Linked DNA regions of Callithrix jacchus. The protein of the gene in region 1 interacts with the protein of each later gene in a biochemical or structural test. Links are inferred from orthologs where the notes say so. Each region holds a gene or a part of one and is shown in the gene's direction. Other genes may lie near its edges.

Evidence for each region.
Region 2: the proteins of AHR (region 1) and ARNT form a complex in vitro, tested with the Homo sapiens proteins (14 studies listed by BioGRID, with this or other methods). The link is inferred for Callithrix jacchus from reciprocal best matches to the Homo sapiens genes AHR and ARNT.

Annotation. Positions count from the first base shown.
Region 1 is NC_133512.1:41,097,982-41,109,108, reverse strand, and holds the end of AHR (aryl hydrocarbon receptor), read left to right. Parts: intron 1-2,609; coding exon 2,610-3,858; intron 3,859-6,492; coding exon 6,493-6,636; 3' UTR 6,637-9,389; downstream 9,390-11,127. UniProt on the Homo sapiens protein: Ligand-activated transcription factor that enables cells to adapt to changing conditions by sensing compounds from the environment, diet, microbiome and cellular metabolism, and which plays important roles in development, immunity and cancer.
Region 2 is NC_133519.1:10,714,944-10,726,070, reverse strand, and holds part of ARNT (aryl hydrocarbon receptor nuclear translocator), read left to right. Parts: intron 1-620; coding exon 621-772; intron 773-6,027; coding exon 6,028-6,138; intron 6,139-6,640; coding exon 6,641-6,713; intron 6,714-6,874; coding exon 6,875-6,995; intron 6,996-7,186; coding exon 7,187-7,289; intron 7,290-7,667; coding exon 7,668-7,815; intron 7,816-9,091; coding exon 9,092-9,254; intron 9,255-9,620; coding exon 9,621-9,787; intron 9,788-10,258; exon of another isoform or gene 10,259-10,366; intron 10,367-10,851; coding exon 10,852-10,941; 3' UTR 10,942-11,127. UniProt on the Homo sapiens protein: Required for activity of the AHR. Upon ligand binding, AHR translocates into the nucleus, where it heterodimerizes with ARNT and induces transcription by binding to xenobiotic response elements (XRE).

The DNA of each region.
Region 1 (11,127 bases):
TCTGTTTCTGTTATCAGTGTTGTTTTCATAAGTCCTCTTATGTGAACGCATAAAAATAATTCAATCAGAATTTAGTCTGGAAATAAAAATTGAAAAGTTAATGTAATTTGTTTAGTAAGGAGAGCACATGTGAGAGACATTGAGAAGATACAATTGACAAACTTTATTGGTCACCTACCTGTGCAGGTGATCAATAGAGCTAATATTTAAAGAATATTAAAAGAACACTCTAGGGTTTTATCCTGAGCATATGAAAAGCTAATGTCATTGGTAATATAAAAGAAAAATATAACAATTTTTTTTTTAGAATATGTTCTGTAAATATAGCAGTGATTTTAAGAGTTTCTTATATATGCTGCAAATGAGTCTTTTGTCAAATATTTGTATTGCAAATGTTTTCTTCCATTCTGGAGAATTGACTTTTGTCTGTGGCTTGAGGTAAGGATTAAGATTGACTCTCCCCAGCCCTTATATGTGTACCCAGTTGACCAGGAACATTGAAAAGATGCTTTACTGAAAAGGTCATCTTTTCCCCACTGCACTGTATTTTAATCAGGGGATTTTGTCTGTTGTTCTCTCTCTGGATTCTGTCGTCCTGTAATAGTTCCATTGATGTAGTTGTCTATTTTGTACCAGCATTACACTGTCTTATTCTCTCTTTATTATACATTTCGATGTCTGACTGTGTCTTCATTTTGTTTGTTTTGCCTTTTTTTGGTTGTTGTTCAAGATTGCCTTGGCTCTTTTTTGCCCTTTATAATTCCACATACATTTTAGAAAGCAGTTGTCTGAAAATCTGTTGAGATTTTGAGTGGGATTACATTGAAACTGTAGATCATTTGGGGAGAATTAACATCTTTTTAATACTGAGCCTTTGAACCCATGAGCATGGTGAATGTGTATGTTTGTAAGTACCCATGGAAGTACAGGCGTATGTGTGTATGTATGTATATGCGTGCATGGGTGTGTGTGTACCTCTACAAATTTGTCCCTTCTCCCTTGATCAATGTTTCTAGAAGGCAGTTTTTTTTAGGTTAGATTTTATTAGTCTTTATTAAGATCCAAATTTTGGTTGATTGATTTTTTTTTTCTAGTGTACACATTTGTTTGTCATTTTAATTATGTCTGCTCATTATTATTTTCTTCCTTCTACCTTCTTTGAGTATAATATATAATTTTTTCTAACTTTTAAAAATATATATACTTAAACATTATATCAGTTTCCCTTTAAGTACAACACTTAAACTACAACCCTCATCTTTTGCTGTCTTATTTTTATTATTTAATTGAAAATACTGGCTAATTTTCTTTTCATTTGATTTTTATTAGTGAATTATTTATAAATACGGTGTTACTCTACTTTTTGATGTTTGGGGATTTTTCTAGTTGCCTTTTTGTGATTGACTTTTAGTTTAATTCCATTGTAGTCAGAAAACATTCCCTGAGTGGACTTCAGGTTTTTTGAAATTTGTGGTGGCTTATTTTATAATCTAACACATGGTCTGTGTTGGTAAAATATCCCATGTAATCCTGTAAAGAATACATGTTCTGTCTTTTGGGAGTTCATATGTCCATACATGTGTTGATATTTTGTGTGCTTCTGTTATAAGACATGTTTGTTGTTTCATTTATTTATTACTAATGAGGGAGGGTATCTTGTTACATCTTTCTAGGACACTTTTCTTTTTTGAATTACAAGTTTGTATTATCATTTACCTGTTTTTCTTGAGTTGCTTGACTCTCTCTTAGACTCTATTGGAGCTTTTTACCTATTATAGATATGAAATTTTATATATATATTATAAATACATTATATATGTTAAAAATATTTTCTTTATGCCTTAAGAATTCTCTTGCAAAAATACAAACACTTTAATTAATACTAAATAATTTTCATATTACCAAGTATACCAGTAATGTCTTTATAGTTTCTGGGTTTTACTAGAGAGGTTAGTTGTTTCAGATTCTTAAATTTCTAATTCATAAACTTTTTAATTTTGTTTTGAGATGGGATCTTACTCTATCACCTAGGCTGGAATGCAGTGGCACAAATATGGCTCATTAAGGTTAGGGTTAGGGTTAACCTCCAGGCTCAGGCAATCCTCCTGCCTCAGCTTCACCAGTAGCCAATACTGTAGGCATGTGCCACCATGCCCAGCTAACTTTTATTATTTTGCAGAGGTAGGGGTCTCACCATGTTGCCCAGGTTGGTTTCAAAATCTTGGGCTCAACAAATCGCACACATCTGCCTCCCAAAGTGCTGCAATTACAGGCATGTACCACCACACCTGGCCCCTAAATTCTTATAGTCTGTTTTTATGTGTAGATCTTTATTCCACACAAACTTATTTTTTCTACAGGATGTCAGGTAGGGATATAACCTGACCATGGAATTAACTAAGTTAATTTTTAACAATTAAATTATTTAAACATGCTTGTCTGAAAAACAATTTTATGGCACTACTCATGAGAATAATTGAGGTGAAAATAAAATATGTCCCCTTCTGAATTCAATTATGTATTTTGCTTGTTTTTCTTTTTGTAATTATATTTATTTTTAAATGTTTATGATATAATTTTTATTAAGACTTTTTTATACACAATTTTAGAGATGAGGAAGGAAATGAGCATTTACGAAAACGAAATACGAAGTTGCCTTTTATGTTTACCACTGGAGAAGCTGTATTGTATGAAGTAACCAACCCTTTTCCTGCCATAATGGATCCCTTACCACTAAGGACTAAAAATGGCACGAGTGGAAAAGATTCTGCTACCAAATCAACTCTAAACAAGGAGTGTCTCAATCCTAGTTCCCTCCTGGCTGCCATGATGCAACAAGATGAGTCTATTTATCTCTATCCTGCTTCAAGTACTTCATGTACTGCACCTTTTGACAACAATTTTTTTAATGAATCTATGAATGAATGCAGAAATTGGCAAGATAATACTGCATCAATGGGAAATGATACTATCCTGAAACATGAGCAAATTGACCAGTCTCAGGATGTAAACTCATTTGCTGGAGGTCACCCAGGGCTCTTTCAAGATAGTAAAAACACTGACTTATACAGCATTATGAAAAACCTAGGCATTGATCTTGAAGACATCAAACACATGCAGAATGAAAAATTTTTCAGAAATGATTTTTCTGGTGAGGTTGACTTCAGAGACATTGACTTAACAGATGAAATCCTGACATATATCCAAGATTCTTTAAATAAGTCTGCCTTCGTACCTTCAGATTACCAACAGCAACAGTCACTGGCCCTGAACTCAAGCTGTATGGTACAGGAACACCTACAGCTAGAACAGCAACAGCAGCAACAGCATCACCAGAAGCAAGTAGTAGTGGAGCCACAGCAACAACTGTGTCAGAAAATGAAGCATATGCAAGTCAATGGCATGTTTGCAAACTGGAACTCTACCCAATTTGTGCCTTTCAGTTGTCCTCAGCAAGACCTCCAACAGTATAATGTCTTTTCAGACGTACATGGGATCAATCAAGAGTTTCCCTACAAATCTGAGATTGATCCTATGCCTTATACACAGAACTTTATTTCCTGTAATCAGTCTGTATTACCACAACATTCCAAATGTACAGAGTTGGACTATCCTATGGGGAGTTTTGAACCATCCCCATACTCCACTACTTCTAGTTTAGAACAATTTGTCACTTGTTTACAAGTTCCTGAAAACCAACACCATGGATTAAATCCACAGTCAGCCATAGTAACCCCTCAGACATGTTATGCTGGGTCTGTGTCGATGTATCAGTGCCAGCCAGAACCTCAGCACACCCATGTGGGTCAGATGCAGTACAGTCCAGTACTGCCAGGTCAACAGGCATTTTTAAACAAGGTAAGGGTATTAACAAACTGAATGAATCTTTCAGTGATTCTTGTCACCGTATAAATAGACATGTTACACATTTTTTATGTCCGCTGATTTTAATCTATTATCTACAGCATTCATGGAGACAGCATTTTTCATTATATCTGTGACTACCTTTTTTTTCATAAGCCTGTACTTTTTCCAGTATGTTACTAATACATCACTCACCTGAGTCATGAGGGAGAAAGGTGTCAAGGGCTAAAGCAACATAAATGTGTCCTTAATGTAAGATGACCTAAATTAGCAAGTGAAATTAGTTTTTAAAAGTATTACATTTAAAATGGGTAATTTGGTTGATTCTTTCTGGATTCTTTAAAAATTATATGGCTTTTTAAAAATTCAAACTTTATAAACATATTGCAATTTTTAAGAATAGTTTCTTCCCGGCTCTATTTTTTTGGATGTGTTTGAAATTGAGTTAGACTCAAATGTAAGTGTGCTTTCTTATAATGCCTTTGTCCTAGATTATATCCCTGGAATTAAGTCCTAGGCCTCCATGTTCTCTAGCTATTCCTCACATTACCTGCCCTATCTTCATTTTATCCTTTAAGGCAGAATTGCTTTGTTTCTTTTCTGGCTTTCTTAAAAGAGGTAACTCAGCTAGCTTTCTGTCATGGAAATCAAGCTTGACAGTATATTTTTATTGTTTAAATGTGTCATCAGAATCCTTCTAGCAGTGAATACACTTTAAATCTAAAAATGATCACTTAAATAAAAAAAAGGTAACAGAAAGCCACTGAGGAATACATCATGTTTGCATTTATGCTTTTCCAGTAGAAAATACTTAGTTCATTTTAGAGTATATTTAAGTTTAGTTTTAAAGAATATTTTGACTAAAATTAAGTTCCTTGACCCCCGTTTACTCTGTATTTGAGTATAATGATTAGAAGTATGACCTGAATCTTTATCCTTAATTGTATTTTCTGGCTTTTTTCATACATTATGTTTGTCTGATTTTTCATACATTTTGTTTGTCGTATTTTATGACCATTTTAATAGAAAAGGATGGCGAAGATTATTCTTACTCCTTATATCCTTCAGTTCTATAAAAATTGAATAATATTCAATTATAGACAATCTCACAAGATTGCTATGAAAGTATATTTTACTCTTGAGTAATTGTATAGAAGTTAATTCTGTAAAATTACATTTTGAATAAGGAGTTGCATTAGTACCACATAAGTTCTTTGCAGTGTTTTCCCCTCACTACTTTGTATTGCTTCTTTGTGAATAACCAAATAATTCTGTAGACCTACATATGCTCCAGAGTAGATGTTACAGAGCTAAGACACTCAGTATTGAGCCACTGAGTAGCTCTTACACACTTGAAATGTAGCTAGTCCAAATTGAGATGTGCTGTGTGAAATACACATTGGATTTTGAAGACCTGGCTTGAGAAAATGTAAACATCTCATCTTTTATTATTTATTTCATGTTGAAATGATTAATTTTTTCAGTAGCCACATTAAAAAAAGTAAAAAGAAACAGGTAAAATTAACTTTAGTAATGTATTTTATTTAATCTACTGCAGTCAAAAATTTAAGTTCTCTATGTGGCTCACACATTTCTATTGGATGACACTGCTCTGTACAGTATGTTTAAAGAGAATGGCTGACATGAATTGTGTTATGAGTAATGAGAAAAATTCATTTAAAACTCACCATTATCTGAACAAGTACTATTAACTTTTTATTTAAAGAATTTACAGAGTTGCCATTCATTAAAGATCAGATTATATGATTTTTACTATAGATTTGTTTTGGAGGATCTGTGAAGTAATCAATATTTTGATTACTGAAGCCTGATGCTACCTAAGGTTTAGAAAGGTAGATTTATTTGAAGCAATTAATAATATAATTTTAATCTGTTTTAACATTTGCAGAACATACACTAACTAAAATATAAAGGCTCTATAATCTAAAACTCTACAGGGATATGCATCTTCGTTTCCTTCCTTTTTTTTTTTTTGTTTTTCTTTTTTTCTACTTGCAGTTGCAGAAACCAGATTCATTGCAGTATAAGAAAACAAGAAAGGGCATTTTCTTTTGGTAACTTGATTCTGTAATTAGAACTATACTTTCAGTAGTATTCACTAATTAAAAGTATATTATGAATAAGATACTGGTTAAGCAAATCATACCTGTGGTGTAATATTTTAAGAATATTTAGAAAATCAGAAGCTGCCTTTTTTGGAAAAGTTTTGCATTCCAGTGTAAGATTCCTGAATATAACCAATTCATTGACACCTACAACTTGAAACCTGGTCAACTATAATTCCTGACTGATGCTCTTTGATCCATCAATTCCTATGTTATCCAAAGGCAGTCTGAAATGAGGCAGCTGTATCACTCATCTGTACCATATTCAAAATTTCCTGTCAAATTAATGAAAAAAAAAGGTTATAAATGCAGCTAATACATAATATGTCCTCAGTTATGTCTTCACTGTATGAAAGATTTAACATTTAGTAGCAGTAAAGGAACTTGAAGTTCACAACTCTCAGGGGTAAGATTTTAAAAATACATGTTAATATGTTATTTAATGGCTTAAGATACTTGGAAGATCCATTCCAGTAAGTTGCATCACTATTTTTGTTTTCAGTTTCAGAATGGAGTTTTAAATGAAACATATCCAGCTGAATTAAATAACATAAATAACACTCAGACTACCACACATCTTCAGCCACTTCATCATCCGTCAGAAGCCACACCTTTTCCTGATTTGACATCAAGTGGATTCCTGTAATTCCAAGCCCAATTTTGACCCTGGTTTTTGGATTAAATTAGTTTGTAAAGGATTGTGGAATAATAAAACTGTCACTGTTGGATGTCAGCAAGTTCACATGGAGGCATTGATGCATGCTCTTCACAATTCTTCCAAACCAATTTTAATTTCTGTTTCTGGAAAAGGAATTTTCAAAATGATATCAAAATTATATATACTATAGTCATTAGTGTAGAAAGTGTGCTGCCACAGAGTAGTGAGATACTATCTACATTTCACATTATTCTGAGCATCACAAAATATGCAAAACTTATTCAGGGAAACTTTAAGACTCTTCTAAATTAGAAAACATTCTCTATTTTAATTATTTCTGTCAGAATAAAAATAAAATATTTTGAGTTTTGAACTTCTGGATTCTTACTAGTTCTCCAAATACAAAGTTACAGAACTAAACTCATTTTTCCTATCATTTTAGCCTCTGCATTTATCTTGGATGTTAAAATAAATGATTTGGTGCTTTTCATAAAAAGATAATCTCAGTGCTTTCCTCCTTCACTATTAATCTAAGTGCCTCACACTTTTTTCTACCTATAACACTGTAGGATGTATATTTTATGTAAAGTATTCTTTTTTTTAATTATTTTCTGCGCACAAATATTATTTGTATTTCCAAAATCCAACCATTTTATTAATTCAGGCATGTTTTAACTGTCCTACTCCCCTACTTACTTCAGGTAAAGGGCAAACAGTGATTGAAAAATAATTATTTATTGCATAATTTAGTTGTTTCTAGACTATAAATGTTGCTATGTGCCTTATGTTGAAAAAATTTTAAAGTAAAATGTCTTTCCAAATTATTTCTTAATATATAATAGCACTTAAATTCTTCAACGGTGTTTTCAGAAGAAATAAATATACCACTGTTTATCTTTATTGAAATTTCTATGATGATAGTTGAATGTTGCCATGTGAAAAATCTGCTGTTAACTGTGACTGTTTATTAAATTGCAAGAAGCTTTATTTCTAGCTTTTTAATTCTATTAAGCAAAGCACCTATTTCAATGTGTATAAATTGTCTTTAAAAACTTAGGTCTATAATCCTTGATAATATATTGTGTTGACTTTATAAATTTCGCTTCCTAGAACAGTGGAAACTTGGTTTTTCTCATATTTGAGGAATGTTAAGATTGCAGGTAGCAATGTTTGGTGCAAAGTATTGTAATGAGTGCATTGAATGGTGCATTGTATAGATAGAATGAACAAAATTATTTGTAAGATATATGCAGTTTTTCATTTTAAGAAGTCCACACCTTATATATACACTTAAATAATTTGTTGGGTCTTTACATCCTTTGTCAATGTGTCTTTTTAAGAAATCAAGTAATAAATCCAACTGCTTTAACATAGTTCCTTTACATTCAGACATTAGGTTGTTTTTAATGATATAATGATCTTCATTACCAATAAGCAAATTAAGCATCCTATCTACTTTACTGTCCTGAAATGGTTTAAAAGAAAATATGCCACCATTTTTTATTCTTTTCTACTTCTTCTTCTTTTTGCGGGGGGATGTGGAGGGAAACAGAGTCTCACTCTGCCTCCCAGACTGGAGTGCAATGGTACAATCTCGACTCACTGCAACCTCCACCTCTTGGGTTCAAGTGATTCTACTGCCTCAGACTCCCGAGTTGCTGGGATTTACAGGCATGTGCCACCATGCCTAGCTAATTTTTGTATTTTTAGTAGAAACGGGGTTTCACTATGTTGGCCAGGCTGGTCTGAAATCCTGGCCTCAGGTGATCCTGCCTCGGCCTCCCAAAGTTTTGGGATTACAGGCATGAGCCACTGCACCCAGCTATTCTTTTCTTTAGATATGAGCGCTGAAGAGCTTAGACACATTTTGCATGTATTATTTTACAATCTGATGGAATCCCAAACTGAGATGTATTAAAACACAATTTTCATTTGTCTTACTTTTTTTTAGTAAATTATTGTATTTAAAAGTGGCTTCAGACAAAATCTCTGTCAGTTCTATGTATTTTCAGTCAAAATTTTAAATCTGCATAATCAACTTGTGTTGAAAAAAATTTGCCTGAAGCATTTCATAATTTGTTTCCAGCATAAGATATCTAAGGATTTAGACTAGTGGTCTAGCTTAATATTCTATTTTTACATTTAAACCTTTTAAGTCTTCTATAAACCATTTTTGTTACTCTCTTCCACAAGTTATTGGACGTATTGTTAAGTGGAAAAATAGGCTCTTTAATTGTGAATATGATGACAAATCAGTTATACAGTTACAAAATTTAAGTTTTAAAAGCAATATTGTATATTTTTATCTATATAAAATAACTAAAATGTGTCTAAGAATAAAACCACATTAAACCAAATACATCTTTGTCTGTATTGATAAGTGCCAAAGGAAGGATGCTTAGTGCACTGCCACACTGAGGGATTTATTTCTAGATGATATGCACATCTAAGAATGTGGATATGTCTAATTTAGTCTTTTTCTATACCAGGTTTTTCTTACAATACCTGAGGACTTACTAGTATTCTAGTGTATTATGAAGCTTTCAATCATTACTATGCACAAACTAGTGTTTTTCAGTGTTAATACATTTTAGGTAAATGTTTTCATGGCTTTTTTGCTTCAAAATGTTACTGCTTACATATGCCATGCATAGATTTTTGCTTAAAGTATGATTTATAATATCCTTATTATCAAAGTTGTATACAATAATATATATGTAATAAAATAAATATGAATAACATGTTTTAATGTAAATTCTTCTTTCTGGTCCACCTAAAGGAAATTGTGTCATAAGTTACATAGTATTGTAACTATTTTAGATGAGGGCGGTCTATAATACATAGAGATATATTAAGTCAATAATTCATAAACTTTTTACACAGTTTTTCCTCCCAATGTTTGGCCTTTATCTGGATATAAAAAATACTTTCAGTAGCTTTTTAAATTAAAATGCTTCTGAAATGGACTTTTTCTTTAAGCCCTGTATTATCAGTGTAGTAGTGTTTGTATCAGATTAAAATCCAAAATTCCATTTTAATAAATAATATTTTAAGAATATTTCTGAAGAAATTTGAAATAACTCTTGTTAGCTTTTTTGTGCTTAGTTTAGAAAAACCATTGCCCAAACTTTGTCTTTCTGTTTAATAAGTATAAATGATACAGAAGCCTTTGGCTTTAAATTTATAAGTGTTGAATATCATGAAAAATTCTGCAATTAGAATTGATTGAAGAAAAATTCCTGAGAAAACATTTTCATTCTCATGACAGTTATGTTTCTATTAGTTTTGTATTTGTTCTTTACAATTAGGTATTTTTCTCAATAAGCAGATTGTAAGTTAGCATCATACTTAATTCTGAACATTTTAGAGTAACCCTGAGTCTTTAAGAGTTACATAAATTTTTTAGTTTTAACTATCTGAAAAAAATCAAGTAAAAATCCAGATTACCTGAGTGCATCTCTGATTATTTCTGTCACCATGAATGACTAGCTTGTCTAATTTCACCAGCTCTACCAAACACCAACCCAGGGATGTTGGTCACTGACAGGACTGGGTGACACCTCTCTAACTTCTTTCACTGTCTGCAGATGACCTTGCTTCTGTTTTTACTAATAAAATTGAGGGTATCATCCTAAGTTTGTCTGTACCTTCACCTCAGCAATTCCTCTCTCTTTGGTCTCTTAGACTTACCTCCAGTATGTGAGGAGGAGAGGTTCCTGAATTCCAGGGTTAGCCCAGGTTCTTTCTTGTTCTCATGCATGTAACTTCTATGCTTCCTTTCTCAGAGGCTCTCCTTCTCCATAGGATTCCCTGTGTATAGGTCCTCCTCCATTTTGGAAAAAAATTACATGATCTTCCTCTTTTTTTTGTCCAATAAATTACTTCTTTACCTCCTTCCTTTGTAACAATCTTGATCTGAAACCTGCTTTTGTTTTCCATCTTTCTATTATACTGCATTGTTGCAGTTCATTAAACTTAACCACAGGCTCGTTTTCTATGGCCCTGCAACCAAATTGATTACTTTGAATGAACTTTTTTCTTGCATGACATTAGTTGTCCTACAAGCTCTTATTATCCCTTCTTTTTCCTTTGTTAACCATTCTTTCCTCTTCCCTCCTGGCAGCAGGCTTAGTTCTGACCATTTGTGGCTCTTTCTATACATACTATCTAAGAAGTGATTCAGTGTCTTATCTCTGATGGACATTTGTGGAGCAATTCTATCCCTTAGAGAGCAGCATAGACTGGAGTCACACTACTAGGTATAAATCCTGGCTTCCTCACAAATAAGGTATGTCATTGGGAAGACTTCTTACTTTCTCTGAGCCTAAGTTTCCTTTTCTATAAAATAAGGCTAACAGTACCTGCCTCACTGGGTTGTTGGAGGATTCAGTGATTTATATAAAATCGCTTAGCTGCCCTTAGCCAAAACTGGAATAATTTGAGCAACTAAGTAAGTGATGATAGCACTGGATTACAACC
Region 2 (11,127 bases), on another chromosome or scaffold:
AAGCCAACTTAATTTTATTTATGGAAACCTCTGTAGATGCTGTGAAAACAGATATTCTCATCTGGGATGGTGGCTCCCACCTGTAATCCCAGCGCTTTGGGAGGCCAAAGGCATAAAAGACAGATGTTCTCAGGTTGCAGGGGAGAAATCGGATTAAAGAGCAGTATGTAAGCTATATTCAGTGTCATTAAATTTACCAAATGTCTGGTACAGACTTCTAAAGCGAACTCAGAGTATCTTTAATGGACTTCCCAAGAGAAGTAGGGAAACAGTCTTTTCCTTCCTATAAATAAGTATAAATAAGTATTATTTCTATTTGACTAGAATAGTATTAGGTTGGTGCAAAAGAAATTGCATTTTTTGCCTTTTTTTTTTTAATCATAATGTGTTTTGCACCAGCCTAATAAGAAAGCGTGAGTCTCTGAGAGGAAGCATGAGAAATATGCCTCCATATTTAATCACTTAGTTTATACTTTCTCATTTTGTGTTAATACTGAAAAATACTGGTGCTTCAAGGATAATGGTAAGAGTTTTAGGATTGTAGAAATTGGAAAATTTTTATTTATTTTTGTAATGAAAATTTTCTATGAGTTCCACTGATGGCATGAAAACTTTTTCAGGTTGTGAAATTAAAAGGCCAAGTGCTGTCTGTCATGTTCCGGTTCCGGTCTAAGAACCAAGAATGGCTCTGGATGAGAACAAGCTCCTTTACTTTCCAGAACCCTTACTCAGATGAAATTGAGTACATCATCTGTACCAACACCAATGTGAAGTACGTATTATAGAGGAGTATGAAAAAGCTCTTTTTCCTCTGCTCTCACAACACACAATACTTCTGATGCCCAATGTGAGGGCTAAAACAATCAAGCAATAACACAAAAATCAGCTGGGCATGGTGGTGTGTGGCTGTAGTCCCAGCTAAATCTGGAGACTGAGGCAGGAGAATTGCTTGAACCTGGGAGGTGGAGGTTGCAGTGAGTAGACTGCGCCACTGCACTCCAGCCTGGGCTACAGAGGGAGACTCTGTTTAAAAAAAACATCAAGCAGTCACTTCTGCAGTGGATACCAGCTGGTTGTCCTTCTATTCGATTCAGTTTACTGTCTACTTGAAGATAGCATCAGATCTCCCAATTTGTAGATGCAGTACCATGAGACTGCTCCCACTTCTGATGCCAATTACAAGCTCCAGGTTGTTGTACCTGTGTATCTGACTGACCAGCTGTTTCCCATGACCCCCTACTTGGGTTCCGTCAGTTTGCTTGAATGGCTCAGGGAACATTTACCTTTGTTTACCAGTTTATTATAAAGGATATTACGAAGAATACTAGTGAACATCAGATGAAGAGATAGATAGGGCAAGGTAAGGAGGAAGGAGCACAGAGCTTTTATACTCCTTCTGGGTGGCTGCCCTCCAGGGATCTCCATGTGTTTACCTATCAAGAAGCTCCTCAAACCGCGTCCTTTTGCGTTTTAATGGAATATTTATTATGTAGGCATGAGTGATTAAATCATTGGCCATTGGCAATCAACTTAACCTTCAGTCCCGTGCCCCTCCATGATGTTGAAGGTTAGGGCTAAAAATCCCAACCCTCTAATTTTGCCTTGATCTTTCCAGAGACAAGCCCCTATCCTAAAGCTGCCTAGGGGTTGCCAGCCGTCAGTCAACTCACTAGCAGACAAAAAGACACTTACCGTACTGAAGATTCCAAAGATTTTAGTTGGTATAAATCCAGGTCCACTGACACATGGATTTTTTTCAGTAAATGTGTTGGAAAAATTTTTGGAAATTTGTGACAATTTGAAAAACCCTACAATAAGCTACATAGCCTAGACTTATTGAAAAAAATTAGAAAAAGTCATGTCATGAAAGTATTAAATATATGTAAATTCTAATCTTATTTTATCATTTACTACCATAAAGTGTATAGAAATCTATTATAAAAAGTAAAAATGCTGGCCAGGTGAGGTGGCTCACACCTGTAATCCCATCACTTTGGGAGGCTGAGCTGAGCAGATTACTTGAGGTCATGAGTTTGAGACCAGCCTGGCCAATATGGTGAAACCCCATTTCTACTTAAAAAAAAGAAAATACAAAAATTAGCTGGGCATGGTGGCGCATGTCTATAGTCCTAGCTACTTGGTAGGTTAAGGCGCGAGAATCACTTGAACCTGGGAGGCAGAGGTTGCGGTGAGCTGAGATTGCACCACTGCACTCCAGTCTGAGTGACAGAGTGAGACTACGTCTCAAAAAAAAAAAAAAAGTATCACAACCTATACATACGCACAGACTATATATGGTACTATTTGTAGTTGAGATAAATGTGAACAAATGTAAAGATGTAGTTTTAAATTATAACTGCATAAAGTTAACTGTAATACATACGGTACTACTGTAATAATTTTATAGCCACCTCCTATTGCTCAATTGTTGCCGGTCTGCTTAACATGCTATATGATGCTAATCATGTCTTCATGAGCAATTCTCTCCGGTAAATTGTATATTGTAGTAAAAAGTGAAATCTCATGGTTCTTGTGTATTTTTCATCATGTTTAGTGAAATACTGTAAACCTTTAATAACATTTAGGAACAATATGAAGTGCCACTAGTGATGCTGGAAGTGTTCCCAAGAAGCAGGGAAAAGTCATGACATTATAAGAAAAAGGTGGGCTGGGCGCAGTGATTTAAGCCTGTAATCCCAGCACTTTGGTAGGCCTAGGTGGGTAGATCATAAGGTCAGGAGTTCAAGACCAGCCTGGCCAACATGGTGAAACCCTGTCTCTACTGAAAATACAAGTTAGCCAGGCATGATGGTGGGAGCTTGTAGTCCCAGCTACTCGGGAGACTGAGGCAAGAGAATCGCTTGAACCCGGTAAGCAGAGGTTGCAGTGAGCCAAGATTGCGACACTGTACTCTAGCCTGCGAAGTCTCAACAAAAGAAAAAAGAAAAAGGTGAATTGCTTGATATGTACTGTAGAATGAAGTCGGCAACTGTGGTTGCTTGCCACTTCGTAGAAACGACTCATCTTGTAAACAGATAATATAAACTCTTAACAATAAATACAGTACAGTGCTATAAATGTATTTTCTCTTCCTTATGATTTTCTTAAAATATTTTATCTTTAGCTTTATTTTAAGAATACAGTATATACACATACAACATACAAAATGTGTTAATCAACAGTTTGCTATTGATAAGGCTTCTAGCCAACAGTAGGCATTAGTAGTAAAGTTTTGGGGGAGTCAGAAGTCACAGTCGAAATTCTGACTGCACAGTGCTTGGTGCCCCAACCTCCATGTTCAGCAATCAGTTGTATTTCACAATATAACACAGGCATTTTCCGACGTTGGGATTTCTAACGGACCAAGTCTTCTTAGTCTTATCAAGCTGTCCCCTTATCCTCTACTTTTCCAATATTCAACACCATTAGTTTGAAGTTTCTCATTTTCCAGCTTACAGGATTTGGGATAGTTGATCAGAATAGAGTAAACTTTATTCCCCCCCGCAGACAGGGTCTCACTCTGTCACCCAGGCTGGAATGCAGTGGCATGATCATGGCTCACTGCAGCCTTGACCTCCCAGGCTCAAGCGATCCTCCCACCTCAGTCCCTTGAGTAGCTGGAGCTACAGGCGTGCACCAGGATGCCTGGCTAATTCTTGTATTTTTTATAGAGATGGGGTTTTTCCATGTTGCAGAGGCTGGACTTGAGCTCCTGGGCACAAGCAATCCATACTCCTTCAACTCCCAAAGTGCTAGGATCACAGGTATAACCCACTGCACCTGGGCAGAATAAGATTTTACCAACAATAATTCAGAGACTAGGTCCTGAAATGGAAGGGTTTATATTTCAATTCTATGTATCAACTCATTCTGAAAAGGATTATGTTTTATATACCAGTTTATTGCTCTAGTCTGGCAGGATTTTCCTCTGGAGCAAGGGGTAGGCAAGCTCTTTCTGTAAAGGGGGCTTTGTGGGCCATGTGGTGTTCATTGCACCTACTCAGCTCTGCTGCAGCATGAAAACAGTCATAGACAAACGGAAGACTGTGGCTGTGTTCCAGTAAATCTTTCTTTACAAAAGCAGGCAGTGGGCTTTATTTGGGCTGTTTGCTTAGAGCATAGCTATATCCTCCTGTTTTATTAGTTACTGTTCCTCTCTTTTGAACTTTTCTATTTGAGCTTTTTTTCTCAGCTTCTTTTTAAAAAAGTTTTATTGGGATATATTTCACATATCATACGCCTCACCCATTTAAAGTATCCAGTGTTTTTTAGTATATCACATAGTTATGTAACTCTTATTGCAGTCTAATTTCAGAATATTTTCATTCCTCCAAAAGAAATTCTAGATCAGTTAACAGTCATTCCCTGTTCTTTCCCCTTCCTCTCAAGTTCGGTGTAACTATGAATCTGTTGTCTTTGTAAATTTGTCTATTCTAGGCATTTCATATAAATGGAATCACAGACTATGTAGTTCCTTTGTAACTGGCCTCTTTCACTTAGTAAAATGTTTACAAAGGTCATCCGTGTTGTATAGATATGCCACATACTATGTGTTCATTAACAGACATTGGGTTGTTGCTACTTTTTGGTTATCAAGAATGCTTTCATCTGTAAAATAGCGATAAGGAGCTGAAAAAATGCTTTCATGAATATTTCTATACTAGTTTGTGTTTGGATATATGTCTTTATTCTCTTGAATTCCACCCAGGAGTGGAATTGCTGGTCACAGAGTAACTCTGTTTTACCTTTTGAGGAACTGCCAAACTGTTTTCCAAAGCTCCCGCATCCCTCTGCATTCCCAGGAGCAATGTACAAGGGTTCTGGTTTCTCCACATCCTTGTTAACACTCATTATTGTCTTTCTTTATTATAGCCATCTAGTAGGTTGTCACTTTGCCATTTAATCTTTTTTTTCTGTAGAATTGGCCTTGAATCCAGCTCTTGACGATCAGATTATGACTACTTAGCAAGTATGAATAATACCTAGTGACAACAGCATTGTCCAATTCAGTCGTTAGAACTTGTAAAGTTTAATTCTTTGCTAAGTAACTTAATATAACACAATGGATTGAGTTAGAAGTTTTTATTAACTTAGAACTCAAGTGGAAGGCCATGGTCATTGTAGCTTTTTTTTTTCCTGTCTTTTTGCATGTTTATATTATACAACAGGCATCATTTTTGTGTTTCCGTTTTATTTAAATTTTAAAAAATTTAAGTCATTTTAAGGACTTGAATTTCTGGAAATAACTGCTTTCTCCATGTTTACGTATCATTTTCCCTACATGATTAATTTTAATTAGCTTTTAGAGCTTGTTTGTTTGTTTTACTGAGACAGGGTCTCACTCTGTCACCAGGCTAGAGTGCAGTGGCGCTATCTCAGCTCACTGCGACCTCTTCCTCTGAGGCTCAGTCGATCCTCCCACCTGTCTCCTGAGTAGCTGGGACTACAAGAGCCCACCACCACTCCTGCTGATTTTTGTATTTTTTGTAGAGACGGGGTTTTGCCATGTTGCCCAGGCTGGTTTGAAACTCCTTAGCTCAAGTGATCCACCCTGCCTCAGCCTCTCAGAGTGCTGGGATTACAGGCGTGAGCCACTGTGCCTGGCCAGTATTTTATTTTTAAATAAATATTTTTTTATAGAAAATGTGGAAAGTATTGAAGAGTATAGAGAGAAGGAAAAAAAAATTTCATACTCCAGATAGTCTTTGTTAATGTATCAGTGTACATACTTTCAGTTTTTTACCTATGCTTTAAAAAAATACAGACTATGAATATATATAACAACCAGGTTTTGAATACCTAGAAGGACTGAGAACCCAACAAGGTGACCCTTTGTGCCATAGGACATAGTTTCTATTTGACATCATAGGTTAATTGTAGGATTGGACTTCAATGAAGGATTTATTGATTGTTCCACCTACAGATGAATCTGTAGAGCTTTACATACAGAATCTGATTGTTCTCTTTGTCTCTGTCTCCCCCTCCTCCACTTCCTTCCCTTCTTTACTGTCTACTCTGTTTTCCTAGGAACTCTAGCCAAGAACCACGGCCTGCACTCTCCAACGCAGTCCAGAGGCCACAGCTAGGTCCCACAGCTAATTTACCCTTGGAGATGGGCTCAGGGCAGCTGGCACCAAGGTAAGAAAGAGTGAAATAATCATTTGTTGAGCAGTCACCCAGGGGGTGGTCATTTGCAATCCCATATATTTTTTTGTTTGGTTGGTTGGTTAATTTTTTTTTGTTTTTTGTTTTTTTTTTGAGACGGAGTTTTGCTCTCATCACCCAGGCTGTAGTGCAATGGCGCAAACTAGGTTCACTGCAGCCTCTGCCTCCCGGGTTCAAGTGATTCTCCTGCCTCAGCTTCGAGAGTGGCTGGGATTACAGGAGCCTGCTGCCACCCCTGCCTAATTTTTTGTATTTTTAGTAGAGACGGGGTTTCACCATGTTGACCAGGGTGGTCTCGATCTCTTGACCTCGTGATCCACCTGCGTCGGCCTCCCAAAGTGCTGGGATTACAGGCATGAGCTACCGCGCCCAGCCCATAATTCTTTTTTTTAAGAAAAAAAATCTAGTTTTTCCAGATTCTTTAAAAAATTTTCTTTTTCCCTATTTCTCTTTTCCACTGTCCTTTGACATATAGGCAGCAGCAACAGCAAACAGAATTGGACATGGTACCAGGAAGAGATGGACTGGCCAGCTACAATCATTCCCAGGTAAGTTGTGTCCTCTTTTTCTTTGAAAAGGATAGAGAGTATTTACTTAGGAAGTGTCCTCCAGTACTAGTTAGAATCTACATATGTTTTATATGAATTTTAGGGTTATTAAATTGTCATGTTAAATCTTTAATGGTTATTTTTATTATTGTATTCCACAGGTTGTTCAGCCTGTGACAACCACAGGACCGGAACACAGCAAGCCCCTTGAGAAGTCAGATGGTTTATTTGCCCAGGATAGAGATCCAAGATTTTCAGAAATTTATCACAACATCAATGCAGGTATGTTTCTTTCTCACTATCCTTTTAAATTCTCATTTAGATCACTTACTGATGGGCATGCCACTACCCAATCAGTAATCTTCCGATGTTTTTCCACTTAATCATAATACCACCTGAGTAAATAGGAACTTGCTGAACTAATATACTACAGCCCCTTGACTGGCCCTCCCCCAACTCCTTTTGGTCCACAGATCAGAGTAAAGGCATCTCCTCCAGCACTGTCCCTGCCACCCAACAGCTATTCTCCCAGGGCAACACATTCCCTCCTACCCCCCGGCCGGCAGAGAATTTCAGGTGAGCCCCATATATATGTGCTGCTTTACAGGGCCCTGAGGGATTCAGCTGATGAATCCAAATTTTATTCTTCCCTTGCTTTCTCTGGTTATTTCAGAAAAAGCAGTGAAGCTTGTAGGGCCTAGTGTGAGGCAAACAAGCTGCTTTTCTTCCTCCTATTTCTTTGCATTTTCCTGTTGCCATGTACTAGGCTCCATTTCTGTGTCCTGGTCAGTGTGTGACTGTCAGTCTTTCTTGTCTTTTCCAAATTGTTATCAAATTTTCCTTAACCTGCAGGAAGTCAAGGGGATCTAGGGATAGCACTAGATTGTCCTTTGATTCCTAGCTTCTATAATAAATTTATCATTTTAATCCTTTACCTCATTTGTTCACTCCTAGGAATAGTGGTTTAGCCCCTCCTGTAACCATTGTCCAGCCATCAGCTTCTGCAGGACAGATGTTGGCCCAGATTTCCCGCCACTCCAACCCCACCCAGGGAGCAGCCCCAACTTGGACCCCTACTACCCGCTCAGGCTTTTCTGCCCAGGTAAAACTTATATATCTGTTTGTTCCCTGTGTATTATTTTTTGTTTGTTTGGTCTTTTTTACATATGTAGAGTCAGTGTTTTCTATTTTAAATACCTTCTCCGCAACTCCTATCTTCCAGTTTCCAGTTTTCATCTTTGTTGAGAGGAGCTAATTAAAAATCACAGATAATAAAAAATCTCAGTGGAGTTTGGTTTTCACATTTGTTTATGAGTAAATTCTAAGATGTTTCCTCTTTGTTTAGGACTATGTAATACAAGAACAAAGGAGAAAATTAATGACTAACTTACAGTGATGTCTGTTTACAAAAGTTGAAAAATTTGTATATATATAATATAATGCACAATAAATATATTGTCTAAAGAAAGATTGTTTAATATTACTATATATTTATGTTATACAAGTAATAGTTTTAAAAAGTCAAAACCAAAAGGAGGCTCCAGAATGTTAGATGCAGTATGATCTCAATTATGTACAAAATGCGTGAGGAAATGAAAACGAAGAAATTATCTAAACATGTTAACAAATTATGAATGATTCTTTTTGTTTTCCTTTACTTTCCAAATATTCTACGATGCACATATACAACTCTTGTGAGAAAATAGTTTTTATAAAAAATGCACCGTTAGGAACAAATGAACGTAGAACAGACTGAATTATGGTGCAGAGTATTTTTTCTCTGCATATATTTTTTTTTTTTTGAGCCTGAGTCTCGTTCTGTTGCCCATGCTGGAATGCAGTGGTGTAATCTCTGTTCACTGCAACCTTCGCCTCCTGGGTTCCAGTGATTCTCCTGCCTCAGGCTCCCGGGTAACTGGGATTACAGGCATGTACCACCATGCCTGGCTAATCTTTGTATTTTTAGTAGAGAGGGGTTTCACCATGTTGGCCAGGCTGGTCTTGAACTCCTCACCTCAGGTGATCCACCTGGCTTGGCCACCCAAAGTGCTAGGATTACAGGTATGAGCCACCCCACCTGGCCTGCATGTAATACTTAACAGTTTTGAATGCCTCTAGTTTTATATAACTTTACAGTTTATAAGATGCTTTCACTACAACTTTTATTAATCCCATAGTTTGTTGCTTTTTGTACTTTTATCTCAGCTGCCTAAAAAATAGTGTCAAGAGAGATTGAGAGTAATTGGAAGAAACACAGTAGGAAATAAGTGATGATCTTGGTTCAGAAGGATGCAGGGATTGACAGTGTTGACTCTCATAGGCATGGTATGTGCAATGATGTTAATTCTCTGTTCTGTATCCCTTCTTCATCTCTTTAGCAGGTGGCTACCCAGGCTACCACTAAGGCACGTACTTCCCAATTTGGCATGGGCAGTTTTCAGACTCCATCCTCCTTCAGCTCCATGTCCCTCCCTGGTGCTCCCACTGCATCACCTGGTGCTGCTGCCTACCCTAGTCTCACCAATCGTGGATCCAACTTTGGTGAGTCCAGACCACAAGGAGAGTAACAGGAAAATCTCACCAGTAAAGAGAAAGGATTTGGTAGTTAAAGTTGTTTGCCTGTGTTCTGGGTGCACTGACCTAATTGTAGGGAAATGCCAGGTGACAGTCCATTTAGAATTTAAAACCTACCCACATGAAAAATGATATTTTAGCATATATAGTAAAGTCATGTAAATTTTTATACATTTAATAGTATGCAGATTTAATCTAAATGAGCAAAGGACTCTTTGGAAAGGCTGCCTGGAGAAGAAAAATTAATTTAGGGCTGAGTTTTGACTTGTGGAATTAGTACACGGTGGAATTGTGTAAATTGGAGTTGTTTATTCTTCCTTGCTGTATTTCTAGCTCCTGAGACTGGGCAGACTGCAGGACAATTCCAGACACGGACAGCAGAGGGTGTGGGTGTCTGGCCACAGTGGCAGGGCCAGCAGCCTCATCATCGTTCGAGTTCTAGTGAGCAACATGTTCAGCAATCGTCAGCACAGCAACCTGGCCAGCCTGAGGTCTTCCAGGTAAGAGGGTGAAAAGATTTTCGAAAAGTAGAAGCTGGGAGAAAAAGAGTCAGGGAGGAGGAGAGACGGTGAGGGAAGGATGCCTGGATTGAGGTGTTTGGTGGGGGGTAAATGTGAGAAGACAGAGAGGGATAAATTTAGGGATCACTGTCAGTAATTGAAAGGATTGTGGAAGCTAGATGCAGTGGTGCTTGTGCTCATAATGTCAGCCTCTTAGAAGGCTGAAGCAGGGGATCACTTGAGCCCATGAGTTCAAAGCCAGGCTGAGCAACTAGTCTGATCCTGTCTCTGTGAAACAAACCAAAAAGGAGTCAATTGAGTGTGATACATGCCATTTAACCAGAACAGACCAGTTCAGTGCCATAGGAGGGTGCCAAAGAAAGTTACTTTAGCTCATTCAAATAGTTCCACATGCCCAAGTCACAGTTGCTTTGGGTTTAAAAGAGACAGAATGATTAAAAATAAAAAGTAGTGCTCACTTCAGCAGCATTTATACTAAAATTGGAATGAATATAGAGAAGATTAGCATGGCCCCTGTGCAAGGGTGACACAAAAATTTATGAAGTGTTCCATTTAAAAAATTATAAAAATGAAAAGTAAATGAAATAGAACAACTGATTATAGCCATAATGGTCTATTTACACCAGTCCTGAGGGACTGCAAGAGTGAATGGAGTAATCTTAGGCAGGACAAAGGAAGAGCTGATTTAAAGCAAAGACTGAAAGAAAGTAGAACAGGTCTTGGTGAAAAACAAATAGGACAAGAGACTCCATATGTGTCCAAAGGGGGTGATATGAAATACAGCAAGCAGATTTTTCTCCCTTTGAAAATGTTGAGAACGAGGAAAAGGAAAAAGGTGGAACTGTAGGAGGAAGACAGAAGGGATTAGGAAAAAAGGCTGCGATCTAAATGCGTCAAATTTGCTGGAAGGAAGGCAGGCTAAGAGCTCAGCGTAGCAAAGACTCAGGTTCAGGGATGATAATGGAGGGGAATGGTGGAATAAAACTTGAGAAGTATAAGAGATCAAGGTGTGTGACCCAAACTTAATCTTTTTCTTTTATCAGGAGATGCTGTCCATGCTGGGAGATCAGAGCAACAGCTACAACAATGAAGAATTCCCTGATCTAACTATGTTTCCTCCCTTTTCAGAATAGAACTATTGGGGTGAGGATAAGGGGTGGGGGAGAAAAATCACTGTTTGTTTTTAAAAAGCAAATCTTTCTGTAAGCAGAATAAAAGTTCCTCTCCCTTCCCTTTCCTCACCCCTGACATGTACCCCCTTTCCCTTCTGGCTGTTCCCCTACTCTGTTGCCTCTCTGAGGTAACATTTATAGAAGAAA